Linked DNA regions of Sus scrofa. The protein of the gene in region 1 purifies or fractionates together with the protein of each later gene. This does not show direct contact. Links are inferred from orthologs where the notes say so. Each region holds a gene or a part of one and is shown in the gene's direction. Other genes may lie near its edges.

Region 1 (3,562 bases):
TTGCTCTCTGACCTGTGTCACTTACCCTCTGAGCCTCCATTTTCTCATATAATACATGACGAGTAACAGCGTCTGCTTTGGAGGCTGGTTCCCGAGGTTGACTTCTCACCATCCCCACCTCTTGCCCACATCGGTTCTGTAGCTTCCTCCGTGTCCTGGATTTCCAGCTTATTCATTCTCCACATAGCAGCTCAGGTGACACTTTATAAATGTAAACCGTGTCTTGTTATTTCCCCACTAAAAACCTTCCATTGTCCTCAGCTAAAATGCACCTCCTTACTGTGTCCTATGAGACCGTGTATAATCCAGTCCACGCCAACCTCTTCAGCCTCTTTTTTGCCTCCCTGCATTTCACTGCCCCCGAACTTTAGCTCGCTGGCCTTCAGTCTCCTGTTCCTCTGATAGACTCACTCTGCTCTACCTGGAATGCTCTCCCCCTACTTCTTCCGTGGCTGGCTCTTTCTCCTTTGCCAGCATTGACAACTGTTATCTCCAAGCAGCCTTTTCTGGTCACCACATCTCAAAGAACAGCCTCCCGTCATCCCCTCCCATTGCTATATTAAACAAGCTAGGAATCTCCATTTGAAAAATGGGAGCAACTGAGTTTCCAAGAGGTCGTCTCTGCCCAGGACACCCACCTGGCAGTGTCTGAACCCTGCTCTGTTGCTTCCAGAGCTCTGTATCCAGGGGGTTGAGCAAGCTGTTGGAGGGGGGCACTTTCAGTTCTGAGCTATGATCAGCAGGATAGGGAAGCCAGCCGTTCCCTACCCCCCCTCTCTGGCAGGATCTTCACCAAGGTCGTGCTGGAGGCGCCACTCATCACGGAGAGTGCCCTGGAGGTGATTCGCAAGTACTGTGAGGATGAGGTGAGGACAGGCGGCAGATCTCCCGCCACTCCGAGCATCATGGTACAGGCAGGGGGTTCTGGGAGGGACCGGATGCTCTGGTCCAGTCCCAGGTCTGGCTGAGGCAGGGGAGACCTCCCAGTGGTGCCCTGCAGGGGCCTTGAGCTCTGGTTCCCCTCCTTCCTGCCGCAGAGCCGCACCTACCTGGGCATGTCCACTCTTCGAGACCTGATCTTCAAGCGCCCATCCCGTCAGTTCCAGTACCTGCACGTCCTGCTAGACCTCAGCTCGCATGAGAAGGACAAGGTGATCCCCCACCGCCCTGTGCTGTGCTCCACTCAGTCCTTCCTCTGTCCCGAGTAACCAGCCCAGCCTTTTCCACACTCCCCTGAAACTTTCTGGGCTTAATGTGCATCTTACAACAGTCTTTTGGTGGTGGTGGTGGTTTTTCCATTTATGATGGCGTGAAGCTGCTTAGAAGGTACACACATATATATACTCACACCCCAAGCAGGGCAGGCCCGTTCTCGCTCTTATTCTGCCTGTGTTGTACGCCCCTCTTAAGGCCCCACTGTGCTGGGACCTGGGAGGAGCCAGTGTGACCTACCAGCAGACACCATGTGTTCAGTGCCAGGAGTGGAGTAGTGTGTGACTGCAAAGCCCTGGCGAGGGGGTTGGGGAGGGGGTGGTTTAAGGAAGCCTCCCGGAGTCGGGACGTGTGAGCCAAGACCTGCAGTAGGAGTAGATGGCTGCGCCCTGGTCAGATGTGCCTCGGTGTGATGGAGAGGGCCCGCGACCATCCCTGCTCCTGCCTTCAACCCGCTCCTTTCTGGTGTCTTGTGTCCGTTCATTCAGCAGACCCTGACTGCACACTCTGGCTCGGCCCTGGGGTGCTGCTGGGAACAAAGCAATGCCCCAGACCAGGCTCTGTCCTCTTGGCTCCCAGCAGGATATAGCCAGCGACAGGCAGTCCAGGCAGTGGGAACTTTGTGTGCCAAGTCTCAGTGCCAGGGAGAAGGCCGCCACTTGTGAGGAACTGAGGAAAGCTCCTGGTTGGAGCAGGGCAAGCAGGGCCAGACGTGATAAGAATGGAGCCAGGCAAGTAGATGGCGAGGTGATGCAGGGCCCTCAGCTGGGCCAGGAAACCTCCCTCCCAAGCCAGTCTTGGGCACAGGTAACTCAGCTAGGCCAGGCCTTCCTCAGACTTGGGCTTGTTTTCACACTGGCTGCCAAGCTCAGGACAGCTGTTGCCCCCTCCACCACCTTGCCCTCCTCTCTCCTCAGGTACGTTCCCAAGCCTTGCTGTTCATCAAGCGCATGTACGAGAAGGAGCAGCTGCGAGAGTATGTGGAGAAGTTTGCCCTCAACTACCTGCAGCTCTTGGTCCACCCCAACCCACCATCTGTGCTGTTTGGAGCCGACAAAGACACAGGTTTGGTACAGGTTCTTCAGGGGTGTGTTGAGCACCTGCTGCGTCCCAGGCTCTGGACTGGGCCCTGGGGTCAGAGCCTGCTAGAGAAGACAGCTAGACAGCAGTAACCGAAACAAGCAGGCTTTGGGTGGCAAAATCAGGGGTCTGTGGGAGCCCAGAGGGGGTGCCTGGCCCAGCCTGATGGGTCAGGGAGAGGGTCCTGGAGGTGTGGGGACAGCTGGGTGAAAGCCGAGGACAAGGACAGCTTGCCAGTGATGCAGCTCCAGGCAGGATCATATCAGGCCCACTCACTCAGCAGAGCTCTGGGTCCTCCGTGTGCCAGATGGGGAGACTCTGGCCCCAAGAGGATGGACCATAAATTGGAGGCTGTGGCAGGAAGCACGGGGCCTTCTAGGAGCACAGGAGCCCTGGAGCAGCCTGAGTGTTGGGAACCCAGAGGGTGTGAGACCCAGAGGATGAGGAGGCACCACAAGAGGAGTTGGGCGGCAGTGTTCTTGGTGACAGCAGCACGTGTAGAGGCTCCAAAGTGGAGGCCTTGGGGTCTGTCTGAAGTGGGGTGTGACCAGAGTGCAGGGCCCCAGAGGCAGGGCTGCCCTGACCAGGACCTGTCAGGTAGAGCAGGGCGAGGATCTGGGGGCTTGTCCTGAGAGCACAGGACAGTTGTGGGAGCACTGAACAGGAGAGGGACAGGGTCAGAACTGCACTTAGGAAGATCTCTCTGGCTGCCTCGTGGACTGGTGGTCAGAGGAGACAAGGTGGGCACTGAGTGCCGAGACTTGCGGAAGGGGAGCCGTCCCGCTTCCACCCCCACCTCCTAGAGGACAGGCTTCCTGCCCTGGGGACTTTTGCTTCCCAGCTCAGCTCCCTCCTGTGCCTGCCTCCCAAGAAGGACCAGACCCTGAGGGTGGGAGGGGAGCAGGCCTCACCTGATCTTCACCTCCTGCCTTACCAGAGGTGGCAGCGCCCTGGACCGAGGAGACAGTAAAGCAGTGTTTGTACCTCTACCTGGCTCTCCTGCCTCAGAACCACAAGCTCATCCACGAGCTGGCAGCCGTATACACGGAGGCCATCGCCGACATCAAGAGGACTGTGCTAAGGGTCATCGAACAGCCGGTGAGGCCCCTGAGCCCACCAGGCTCTGCCCACGCATGGGCAGGGCTAAACCCCCAAATCAGCCCTTCCCCCGATAGCTCCTCCTCGGTGTCTGCTAAGCTCTAAGGGTTGTCACCCCAGGCCCAGCAGCTCTGTGGCTTGCGGGTGGCCCACACATCCGTCTGCTCAGGAG
Region 2 (3,562 bases), on another chromosome or scaffold:
TTCTACCAAAACGGTTTTAAAAATCTCCACATTTGGGACCAGGAGCATAACATTCTTATTTTCTTTCATTGGCCACGCCTGAAGAATATGGGAGTCCTGGGCCAGGGATCGAATATGAGCTGCGGCTCCAACCTCCCCCACAGCTGCAGCAACGCTGGGTCTTTAACCCACTGTGCCGGACCAGAGGTCAAACCTGCGTCTCAGCAGCCCTGAGCCACTGCAGAGACCTCACCAGCTCCTTAACCCGCTGCACCACAGCAGGAGCTCGAGAGCACGATGTTTCGGTCATGCATTAACACTTGGAAACGAGTTTGGGTTTTACAAGGTCAAGTTAGGAAGAGGCTAGTTTTTCTTAGCCTCTTTAAAATGCAGTTATGTGCTTTAATTGCTTTCTTCTCTGAATCTTTAACAGTTAATTATATGTAGCACTTATTATTTGAACCATTGACCCCACACAACAAAATATTTGTTTCTTGTCACATCTCTCCAGATGAGTACTGGCAGAATCACCCAGAACTCCACGACATTCCAATATACTACGCCTCCTCTCTGGCCAAGAAGTGTATGGCGGTGTACCAGACGTATGTCAACGCCATGAACGACAAAATCCGCAAGCAGATCAACATCAACAACCCCTTTGTTTTCAAGCACATTAGTAACCTTAAGGTGAGCGCTTGTGAAGAAAGAGGGAGGGCGGGCAAAACACAGGAGTCCCAGGAGTGGGGGCGACGCTGTGTCTGAATCCCTGCTGGAGTCTGGCCTACCTGAAGCACGCTTCACTCTTCTGAAGGAAGTCAGCTATTCCGCCACTGGCATTCTTTTTATTTCCTTTTTAGGGCCACGCCCACGGCACGTGGACGTTCCCAGGCTAGGGGTCGAATCGGAACTGCAGCCGCCAGCCTACACCAGAGCCACAGCAACACCCGATCTGCACCCTGCGTCTGCAACCTACACCACAGCTCATGGCAACGCCGGATCCGTAATTCACTGAGCGAGGCCAGGCATCGAACTCTCATCCTCATGGGTACTAGTCAGGTTCATTACCGCTGAGCCACAGTGGGAATTCCTGGCATTCTCTTTTGCTTAAACCAGTGTTCCCACTTGTTCCATTTCTCTGTAAGTTCTCCAGTTTACTGTTGCTAAATAATAGAATTTTCTGCCATAGAAGTGAAAAGTCCCGATGAGAAAACTGTCTGGTATGCCATATTTTCCTCTTCTTACTCAAAGCTAATCATCTTTCCGGTTAGCACTACAAATTCTATACATGCAGATTTTCATGTTTACTTCTCTAGCGCATTCAGTAAAATCTGATTTTCTTTAATTAAAAAAAATGTCATTCAAAGTAATGCTCTAATCATAATAAAATGATACTCCACATAATTCAAGTTATACGTGGTTTTCTGGCTATACATAGGCTATTTGTAAAGTCTTGCTTTTTAAGTTAATTGCCTGGGAACTAGAGAGCCAGGTTTTCCCTGGAAGCAGTGATAAACTTTGAGGGTAGCTCAAAACATTGGGGAAGTAAGCGAAGCCGTGGGAATCTCGAGGAAGTCTTTCAGAGTCTGTCTTAGGAGGACAGAAGCCCATCTGACTGGTCCTTTAACCGCCGGCTTGCCCGCCTGCAGGCACTGAAAATGGGGCTCGTGGTCCCTTAGCTGTCGTGGAAGGTTTGGAAGGTCAGTGTGAACAGACTGCTTTGCATCATTTTGTCTTCCGTTCACTCCCAGCCTCAACCGTTCCGGGACTTGGAAACGGGACTTAAGGTGTTCGCTAGTCTTGTCAGGGCCCTTCCAGTCGAGAGGTTCATCTTTTGGCTCACTTTCTGCTCTTCTTTGTAAGGAAGAATGCTTTTGCCCGAGCCTGGCAGTTCGCATGCTTTACCATTCCCTCTCCTCTCTCAGAGCATGGATCATTTCGATGACATTGGCCCCAGCGTCGTAATGGCCTCCCCAGGCATGATGCAGAGCGGCTTATCCAGAGAGCTCTTCGAAAGCTGGTGCACCGATAAGAGGAATGGCGTCATTATAGCCGGATACTGTGTGGAGGGGACGCTCGCCAAGGTCAGTCAGAGCCCTGAAGCGTCCTGTCATTCCGCATCGAGGCCGCGGAGGTGGCAGCCTCCCCCCAGGTTTTCCAGGGAAGCAGTTCTTTGAATAATACAGGTCTGGGGAGTTCCCTGGCGGCACAGTGGGTTAAGGTTCCGGCATTGTCACTGCTGCGGCTCTGGTTGCAGCTGTGGTAAAGTGTGAGTCCCTGGCCCGGGAACTTCTGCCTGTGTTCTCTTGAAAAGCTGGGGAATGCGTTTTGAGTTGATCGCCCGTCTTCCTGTTGATACAAAATGATCGATATTGACCCCGAGGGATGTGGACATTGATGTGCAAAACTTCCACACTTGAGAGGCAATGTCTGAACCTTCACACGCATCACATTCTCCAGCAACAACTTCTGCTTTATCTATTTTTGCCTTTTGTCTTTTTAGGACCACACGTGCAGCATATGGAGGTTCCCAGGCTAGGGGTCTAATTGGAGCTGGAGCACAGCCACAGCAATGCCAGATCCCTAACCCACTGAGCAAGGCCAGGGATCGAACCCGCAACCTCATGATTCCTAGTCGGATTTGTTTGCACTGCGCCACGATGGGAACTCCTGTTTTATTTTTTAAATACATTGTGATTCTCTGCTTTGATCATTTTTATTACCTTAACCTTATTCTGTAAGTTGTTTAGGCAGTGTTGGCTATGAATTTAAAGTCCGTTTCCACAACAGAAATACACTTGTCCTTCGTGGGATCGTCATACTTGGAAAATGACGTTTTTTTTTAGGGCCACACCCACGACATATGGAAGTTCCCAGGGTAGGGGTCAAACCAGAGCTGCAGCTGCCAGCCCCCACACACCACAGCCGCAGCAATGCTGGATCCGAGCCACATCTTTGACCTATGCCACCACTTGAGGCAATGCCAGATCCTTAACCCACTGAATGAAGTCAGGGTCAAACCTGCATCCTCACGGATACTAGTCAAGCTCTTAACCCACTGAGCCACGCCACCTCCTGGAAAGTGACTTTTTAGAGCAGATCGTTGAGGATATAAGGGTATTTTTCTAGCCACGAGAGTTGAAATTTTCACTTCTAGGACTCCAAATACTTTGAATTTTTGTTCGTCTGCTTCCTTTCCTCAGGCAGTGTTTGCTTGATGGATATTTACTAGGTCAGTCGCGTCAGAGTGATTTTTGCGCTGCGGGTCCTAGGTTAGCCTAAGAGTTTAGTGTGTGAGAAAGTAGAAAATGTACCTTTTCTTCCTTAATTGGCTAGTTTGTCTTATTTTGTTTACTTTCTTTGTTTTTAACAGCATATCATGTCTGAACCGGAAGAAATCACTACCATGTCTGGACAGAAGCTGCCGCTGAAGATGTCTGTCGATTACATCTCTTTCTCTGCTCACACGGACTACCAGCAAACCAGTGAATTCATTCGTGCTTTGAAACCGCCTCACGTGGTTAGTCTGTGCGTTTGGTTTTCGGCGCTGGTTGGGGGGAAGGCCTCCAAGAGAGCAGACACGGCC
Region 3 (4,000 bases), on another chromosome or scaffold:
TGTGAGCACGTACGTAACTTAAAATTTTCAAGTACCCACAGTAAAGAAAGTGTTTACATACATGAATTAAAACACAGAATTTTAATTACCGATATTGAAATAGGTGCCCCCATGTTTTTTAAACATGCTTACTCAAATAAATGCTTCTTTTTCAACCATTAAATAACAACGTCGGATCGTCATCTTAAAACAGTATAAAAGTTTGTAGCAGGAGTTTCTGTTGTGGCACAGAGGAAACGAATCAGACTGGGAACCATAAGGTTGCGGGTTCGATCCCTGGCCTCGCTCAATGGGTTGGGGACCCCGCGTTGCCGTGAGCTGTGGTGTAGGCGGGCAGCAACAGCTCCGATTAGACCCCTCGCCTGGGATCCTCCATAGGCCGCAGGTGAGGCCCTAAAAGGGCAAAGGACAAAAAAAAAAAAAAAAAAAGTAATTAAAAAAAAATTTTTTAATTAAAATAAAATAAAAAAAGTCTGTAGTAGCTGCAAAGACCCTGTCTCCAACCATCATTACACTCATCCCTACTTGAAACCACGACATCCTTTGGGCACAGCGAACGCCCCTCGGTCAGTCGTGAAAGGGGCAATTTCGTTCTCCCCACCTGCCCAGATTAATAAACCGTATTGCAGACACGGGGCCCCGCCGCTCCCCAGACGCCCGGAGACCCTCAAGCTGACCCCTCTCCCAGGCTCCCCTCGATCCTCTGTTTCCTCAGCCGACCCAACGGCTCCGACCCTGGCTGCGACCCTCGCTGACCCTCTGGCCCGTCCCGACCCGGGGCCCGGGCTCCTGTGAGAGTCAAACAGGCACTCGCCCCAGGACTGCGGCCCAGTGAACGCGGCCCACCTCGGTCTCCGCCCGCGCCCCCTGCCCCGCGCCCGTCCCGCGTCACCCCTAGCGCCATCCCAGCCGCGCCTCGAACCCCGGCTCACCGTCCCCACCGCCTTCCCAGAGGAGCGCCTCGGCCGACCTCGCGCAGGCGCAGTCTCCGTCGCGAACTCCTGGCGCGCTAGGTTTCTTGGTCGCCGGCAGCGGCGAGGAGAGGTGAGAGTTCGGCGAGCGGCTAGCCGGGCCTAGCAGAGCCGCCTGTACTCTGCGCTTGATTGGCCCGGTCTGGAGCGAAAGGGCTGGCGCGGGCTCTGGGTGCTCCCGGCATCCCTTGGGCGGCGGCGGCGGTGGCGCCGGTGTTGGCGGCAGCGGCGAGGCGGCGGAGGACAGTGTGCGGCGGGTCTGCGGCGGGTAGAGGTGTGAGGGAGACGAGGAACCTGAGCGGGAGCCGGGCCGGTGTGGCCGCCGCCGCCGCCATGCAGGAAATCATCGCCAGCGTGGACCATATCAAGTTCGACTTGGAGATCGCAGTGGAGCAGCAGCTCGGAGCGCAGCCGCTGCCCTTCCCCGGCATGGACAGTGAGCGCAGGGTCCGGGAGGAGGGCGAGGGCGCGATGGACTTGGCTCCGGGACCCCCCCCCCACCCCCGCCGCTGTAGTTCCAGGACGCCCTGCCCCTCAGTTCGGGAGCTCCTCCCCCTCGGTCCTGGGACTGCTTTCCCCAAATCCTGGGACCCCCACCCCACCTTCTCCCGTCATTTGGACTAAGGAGCCCCTCTTCCCCGATCTTCGACCCCTGAGAGCTAGCCTAAGGCTAGGGCAGGACCACGTCCCGCCCATCAAATAATTCTTGAATGAAAGCGGGTATCGTGTATTGGAAATACTGCCCCCACTCGAACACGCTCCCCAACTACAGAAAAGTACCAAGATATCCCCTTTCCCCATTTCCAGCCCCCCACTTTGGGCGGTCTCTTCTTGCTTTCATCAAAACCGGGCCGTTGGGAGAGTCTTGCAGAGGGAAGGACCCACCCCTTACTCTGTAGGAGACCCCCAATGAGGCGCTCAAGCTCCGTTTTTCTCCTAGGACTCGCGCTCCTGGGAGCCCATTCCTCACTGTTTCTCTGGACCCCACCTCTGGGTCATTCCTCACACCCAGGCAGCCGCCCAAGTGTCCTTCACTCTCCCTCTTCACGTGGCGGCAGTTATCTTTTCCTCTTTCTTTCTCAGAGATACTTGAAATTTAATGCTGTAAGTTAAAGCTCAGAGGGCTCTTAGGGGTCAGTCATTGAGTTCAAGCCACAGATGAAGCACCTGAGCCCTGGGCTGGGGAAGGGACTGGCCAAAGACTGCTCAGCGCCTGATGGAGCCAGATGAGCTCGCCAGGCTTCTTGACCCTTCTATCTGTGGCTCCCTGTGCCGTCCCCCTAACTGCCAGAGGACATGGACCACAGTGCCACATTCTCCTACCTGTCCCTGGACTAGCGGAGCCTCCCTGCGGCCTCATTCCCCTCAAGTGGCCACACTTCTCATGCACGTGTGACCTCTGAGTTGTCCCTCTTACGCTGACGTTTCTGTATAAGATAATGCATGTACACAAGAGACGTACCTTTAGCAGCAGTTACTTTCTATACACATACAAACGCTGTCTCCACTGCATACGGCTTACAAGCCGCTGCCCAGACCCTTAAACCGGTCAGTGCAGGTGATCACTTCATGCTTATACACAGACATCTACCCTCACACCCGTGGCCTCTTCCTCTGCTGATGGCACTAGCTCGAGACCAAGGAACCATCCATACTGGGCAGCTCTTTCTCCCTCCGCCCTCCAGCCTGGAACCACAGATACCTGAGCCCGGGAGGGCAGGTGCAGCGGTGAGGGGCCCTCAGATCTGTGCTTGGAGAGGGTCCAGGACCTGCCTAGCCACAGGTACTGCCCCAGCCCAGGGCCTCAGCACTCACCGCCTGCCCGAGATCACGGTCAGTGTGTCAGAGCCCAGGGAGGCCACAGCCCTTCCTCCCCCTCGTCCTTGCACTTGATTTCTGTCTTAATACAAGAAGGATCTATGGGTTCTGTCCTGAAGGCACATTTCTTTATCATGTCCGCCTCAGACCCCGTCCCCAGCACTGTGGACTTTGGCATTTAAGGAATAAAACAACCTTAAACCTCTGAAAAGAACGAAGGCTCAAAGTACTCTTAAATGATAACTTTTTTTTTTTTTCTTTTCTTTTTTCTTTTTAGGGCTGCACCCGAGGCATATGGAGATTCCCAGGCTAGGGTTTGAATCATAGCTATAGCTGCTGTCCTGTGCCACAGCCACGGCAATGCCAGATCCTTGACCCACTGGGGGAGGCCAGGGATTGAACCAGCAGCCTCATGGTTCCTAGTCAGATTCATTTCCGCTGAGCCACGAGGGGAACTCCTTAAAAGATTTTTTAATGTAAGACTTCTCGGACTTTTCTGAAATGCACACCTCTGACGCCCACTTCTGTAACCTTAAATCTGTCCTAGCAAAATAGACCTGCTTCTAAGAAGCCAATAGAGCTCTTGAAAGTTTGCAGGGGAAGACACGTAAGAGATGCTCGTGGTGGGTTTTGAGCATTTCTAAAATGCCCACTGATAGAGAAAACTGAAGCCACAGATGCTTTCTCCTGGTGGCCATGGCGGGTGAATTCCTGGGCTCCTTATTACAGCCCTGCACCCCACTGACTTCTCTGTGCTTGGCCTTCCTTCTCCTGCTCCCCTCCCGTGAACCAGCTGTATCTGTGGAACATTGAATTGTGTGTTGCTGCCGCTTATTAAGAGCAGTCACGCTCCTGCGTCATCAGTTATGCTCTTCCCTCCAGGAGGGTCTCTGAGCGCCCACCTCTTCCTCCTCGGGGTCCCCGTTTGCTTGTTTGTGCTTCCTGTGGGATCATTCCCTCCCCCTGCCTCAGGTTCAAGTGCCCCTGAATTCACCCTCTGCACAGTCTGAGCAGGGAGAAATTAATTTCTGTCACTTGGGCTCCATCCTTCCTGCGCCCAACCACTCCTAACTCCTTGAAAGCATCTGGCTTGTAGGAGGTTCTCCGAAAGCCCTGAGTAATGACTGGTCTCAGCATATATGCCTCATTCTGCCAGGAATGGCTGAGAGAAAGAGCATTTTCCTTGCTCGAGCTTTGCATTTTCTTCCCAC
Region 4 (4,281 bases), on another chromosome or scaffold:
TATGGCCAGGAGAAAGAACTCAAGTCTCTATGTCCTCACAGAGCATTCACAGTCTTGAATGTCTCTGTGTGCTTTACCTCCTACATTGTCTAATATTCTTAGTGTCACCGACAAAATTGGATAAGAACTCAGGACTTCTCCACAAAACTTTTTCTGTCAATGTGCCACAAATCTTGCCTGTGGTTTCCCAATTATTTGATTCTCCACTACATACTCTTTCTCTTCTACTCAAAGCCCCAAAAAACAATAGTCCCATTTATGTAGAAATGCATCTTTCCTAGTTTTTCCCCTACCTCTTCATACAGCACCTACTTCATTGTTCTAATTGAGGTTCAGTCATAATACCTACAACAGTAACAGTCAATACCTCCTGTCCTCATTCTGCTACAACTTGGAGGCAAAAGAAATGTGTCACTCTGGGAGTATGGCAATGAAGGGAAGACCCTCATAGACAATAGCAATGAGGCATGGGGTCACAAGCACATGGCCTATAACTGAAACCCAATTATAAAACACCACGAGCTTAGGAAATAGCCCTTACATACCTCTTCTTTTATAAACAGTAGGGGTGGTTAAATGAAGTGAAAGAATCAACAGTCCATTCTCCACAAATGGCTGACGGCAGAACATGCCCTGGCTAAGTGCCTCAACCTATTCTTCAGCGGTTCATTATTCTGGGCCATCAATCCACTATTACCAAATCTTAAGCTCTAACCAAAAATGGCAAAGAAAGAAAAGAGTTACGTCGTTAAATTCTCTGAGTTATACTGGTGGGCACTTAAGCATTCAGCCTCTGGAGCGAAAGCAAGCTGAGCTCAAATCATGACTTAGTTGCTAATTGCGTACTACTAGCCAATTACATTTCCTGTTCTAATGTTTTCTGATGCCCTGCCAGCCAACATCCTCCACGGCCTCGCCCCCTCACCATCAAGCACGTGAAGTCCACAGGCTAAGAGAGCAGACGGGGTCTGTTCTGTGTTTACCTCCCCATCTTCTCAGTATGTTGGCGCTTTGGCATTGGGTGCCCCTCATTCTCTAGGGTGCCGTAACTCTGTTTCCTCATCTCCCTCAGTGGGTACAGAGCTTTTGAGAAAGGATAAAAATGCACCCCGCTGGGGCGGGGCCAAGCATTTCCCCTCCCCTAACAGGGCGGAACTAAAAGGAAAGGGACGCAGCGTTTATCGACTTTCCGGTTACCATGGTAAAGCCGCCGCCGCCGCCATCGTTATTGTGGTCGACAATTACTTGCGTTAGCTTAAGAAAATAATGAACAATAAAGAATTATGCAGACTAAAAGCCTTCAAATTAGCCGAGCTCCAACACGGAACGTAGTTTTTCTCAGGCTGGAGCCCAGCCGGGAGGGAGTTAGCGCTCTCCTGGACGTGACGCGCGCCTGCTATGACGAAATGACGCCAGGGGAGGGGCCCTGCGTCCGGCCGGCTCAGAAGCGTCCGGCTCACGCGCCGTACAGAAGCGTGTTCGGCGCTGGGCTCATGCGCCGTACGGAAGTGTGCTCTGGCGCACCGGAAGCCCCCGGAAGAGAGCGATGGCGGGTTTGACTGTGAGAGACCCTGCGGTGGACCGTTCGCTACGTTCGGTGTTCGGTGAGAGGAATTCGGTGGATCCAAGCGTCCGGGAGGGAGAGAAAAAGACAGGGAACGCCGAGGAATGCCGTCCTGCATCTCATGAATCGCTGCAGGAGCCGGTGATGGGTCGGGCTTGCGCTCGACCTGCCTGTCCTGTCGGGCGGCCAGCTTGGTGGGCTCGTGGGCAAAGTGATGCTCCCCTTCCCCCGAGGCCTCAAAGCCTTTGCAAGATGTGGCCGAGGAAGTTAAACTAGCGTTCAGCTTCTATGCGTTTTCCTTTCGTGAGCCTCAATTATTATATAGAAGCGAGGGCTCATGGCAACTGCCCCGTACTACTCACCCCCTATCCCAGAATACAGTTTATATGCTGAGGATATAGATCTTTCTGTCCACTTCCCGCCCTCTCATAAGGGCTTTCATCCTCTGCTTTTCACATTTTAGTTCGTCGTTAGTGGTAGTGGCCACCCGGCGTCTTAAGGTGAACTGTAAATAAATGAATGAATGAATGATTAAGACCTATTCAGAGAAATTTTAAAGAGGGTCGAGTCTATTCTGAGCAATCTTTCAGGCCGAAATAAGTTGATTTTTAAAAGTATCTGGCGATTTTAAAGCACCTTTTGGGAGGGACATGACAAAATAGTTCAGAATAACTTTTAAACATCCTCTACGACATTCGTGGTCATTCTCCTTTGAGTGTGTGTATATGTGGAAATACTGGCATAGGAGCCGGCTTCATATATTATAATATTGACATTTTTAGCAGTTATTTATGACTTGCAGACTTTCAGGTAAATACCAATGCCTAAATATTTATTTTCACCATACTTAAGAAAAATGTAACACCTGTCAGTTCAGTCTAAGAACTAATACTTAGGGCATACACCTTTTGTGTTTCGTCTCAATGGTTTATTCCTCTTGTAATTAAAGTCAGTAGACACCATTGAATTCTTGTCTAAGAGAGTACAATGGAATCGGGATTGGAGGAACGTTGTGTTTGAACCAGTTGTTACATTTTCAGTGATATATGTAAATGTTTTCTTACTAAAGACCTAGATTACAAACTCAGAATTTTAATATATTATCTATTTCCTTCCTTAGTGGGGAACATTCCTTATGAGGCTACTGAAGAGCAATTAAAGGACATCTTTTCTGAGGTTGGACCTGTTGTTAGTTTCAGGTGAGATCCCCTTTTACTCCTTGGTGGAAATTTCTTAAAAATCACCACAAATTGGCCCCTAGTAATAATGGCAAAGTTTTTATTGGTGACTTTTCACATGCACAAAAAAATTCTTTTTTGTTTGTAACAGCTTTATTGAGATGTAATTCACACACCATATAATTCACATTCATTTTTGCTAAAAGATACATTTTTTTTTGGCCCACCCCTGGCATATGGAAGTTCCCAGGCCAGGGATCCAATCTGCACCACAGCAGTGAGCCAAACTGCTGCAGTGACAACATTGGATCCTTAACCCACTGTGCCACAAGATAACTCCTAAAAGTTACCTTTTTTTCCCATTTAGAAAGATGTGTAAAAAATATTTCAGTGACACGGAGCAGTAAGGTTGTCTTAAAGTAAACCACATTAGAACACAGCAATGTTAGTGGAAAACCTGCATGTATATAACATTCATGCCTGATACTTGGTTCTGCTCTCCAGGTTGGTATATGATAGGGAGACAGGAAAACCAAAGGGTTATGGCTTCTGTGAATACCAAGACCAGGAGACAGCACTTAGTGCCATGCGAAACCTAAATGGGCGTGAATTCAGTGGGAGAGCACTTCGAGTGGACAATGCTGCCAGCGAAAAGAACAAAGAGGAGCTGAAGAGTGAGTAAAAACCCAAGCTGTATGCAACATGAGTTAGTAAAGATGTAACAATGGAGATTTGCCACATAATCATATGTTTTAGCATCTGCTGAAATGGTTTTCAGCTACACAACATCTTTATTTGAGCCATCTGAGAGCTGCCTGCATTAGGGCAGTGTACACCTTTGAGAAATAAGTAAAGTTGACTTAAGACCTTCCGTTACCAAGGAATTGATTTCCAGCTGAAGATGAATTACAGGCTCAGGAAGCCGTTAGTAGTGCTAACTATGTCTGTCATTAGTGTCCGCCACTCCTATAATTATGTTACCAGATCTATAACTGGTAAGGATACCAAGGCATTCTCGTGGCTTTTTTTTTCATGAAGTAACAGAATCCAGAAATTCCATTTTGAAATTAGAATTAAACCCTTTTAACTGGGTCACAGTAGAAAAAAAAAATTGTATTGGGGAAATAACAATTAAAAAAAATTGTAAAAAAAAAAAAAAGAAACATTTTGCTTATGAAATGATTTGTAAAAGGAAATGGATATGCCTAGCCCCTAATTTAAGTTAATATTGTTCACTTCTGTGACCCTGGTGCCAGCTTTCCTCTGAGAGCAGAAGATACACTCTGTCACTTTCCTCCACAGAAATATGAGACTTGAAAATCACTTATTTCTCAGCTCCAGAAAATTTAAAGTTATCAACAGGGTCTTACAGCAACTCTGTAAAGAGTAGATACTTGAAATCGTTTAGCTCTTTATACTGCCTCCTTAACTTTCTTGTACTTTCTTCCCAATCAGGTCTTGGCACTGGTGCCCCTGTCATTGAGTCACCTTATGGAGAGACCATCAGTCCCGAGGATGCCCCTGAATCCATTAGCAAAG

The links.
Region 2: the proteins of SYMPK (region 1) and CPSF3 fractionate together in Homo sapiens (co-fractionation; 6 studies listed by BioGRID and IntAct, with this or other methods). This does not show direct contact. The link is inferred for Sus scrofa from reciprocal best matches to the Homo sapiens genes SYMPK and CPSF3.
Region 3: the proteins of SYMPK (region 1) and CPSF4 purify together in Homo sapiens (affinity purification with mass spectrometry; 4 studies listed by BioGRID and IntAct, counting the BioPlex papers as one, with this or other methods). This does not show direct contact. The link is inferred for Sus scrofa from reciprocal best matches to the Homo sapiens genes SYMPK and CPSF4.
Region 4: the proteins of SYMPK (region 1) and CSTF2 purify together in Homo sapiens (affinity purification with mass spectrometry; 4 studies listed by BioGRID and IntAct, with this or other methods). This does not show direct contact. The link is inferred for Sus scrofa from reciprocal best matches to the Homo sapiens genes SYMPK and CSTF2.

The regions. Positions count from the first base shown.
Region 1 is NC_010448.4:52,149,340-52,152,901, reverse strand, and holds part of SYMPK (symplekin), read left to right. Parts: intron 1-784; coding exon 785-866; intron 867-1,037; coding exon 1,038-1,151; intron 1,152-2,129; coding exon 2,130-2,277; intron 2,278-3,229; coding exon 3,230-3,390; intron 3,391-3,562. UniProt on the Homo sapiens protein: Scaffold protein that functions as a component of a multimolecular complex involved in histone mRNA 3'-end processing. Specific component of the tight junction (TJ) plaque, but might not be an exclusively junctional component. May have a house-keeping rule.
Region 2 is NC_010445.4:126,886,303-126,889,864, reverse strand, and holds part of CPSF3 (cleavage and polyadenylation specificity factor subunit 3), read left to right. Parts: intron 1-490; coding exon 491-666; intron 667-1,901; coding exon 1,902-2,060; intron 2,061-3,349; coding exon 3,350-3,496; intron 3,497-3,562. UniProt on the Homo sapiens protein: Component of the cleavage and polyadenylation specificity factor (CPSF) complex that plays a key role in pre-mRNA 3'-end formation, recognizing the AAUAAA signal sequence and interacting with poly(A) polymerase and other factors to bring about cleavage and poly(A) addition.
Region 3 is NC_010445.4:6,373,211-6,377,210, forward strand, and holds the start of CPSF4 (cleavage and polyadenylation specificity factor subunit 4), read left to right. Parts: upstream 1-1,151; 5' UTR 1,152-1,304; coding exon 1,305-1,407; intron 1,408-4,000. UniProt on the Homo sapiens protein: Component of the cleavage and polyadenylation specificity factor (CPSF) complex that play a key role in pre-mRNA 3'-end formation, recognizing the AAUAAA signal sequence and interacting with poly(A) polymerase and other factors to bring about cleavage and poly(A) addition.
Region 4 is NC_010461.5:82,507,293-82,511,573, forward strand, and holds the start of CSTF2 (cleavage stimulation factor subunit 2), read left to right. Parts: upstream 1-1,446; 5' UTR 1,447-1,546; coding exon 1,547-1,604; intron 1,605-2,684; coding exon 2,685-2,763; intron 2,764-3,246; coding exon 3,247-3,416; intron 3,417-4,197; coding exon 4,198-4,281. UniProt on the Homo sapiens protein: One of the multiple factors required for polyadenylation and 3'-end cleavage of mammalian pre-mRNAs. This subunit is directly involved in the binding to pre-mRNAs.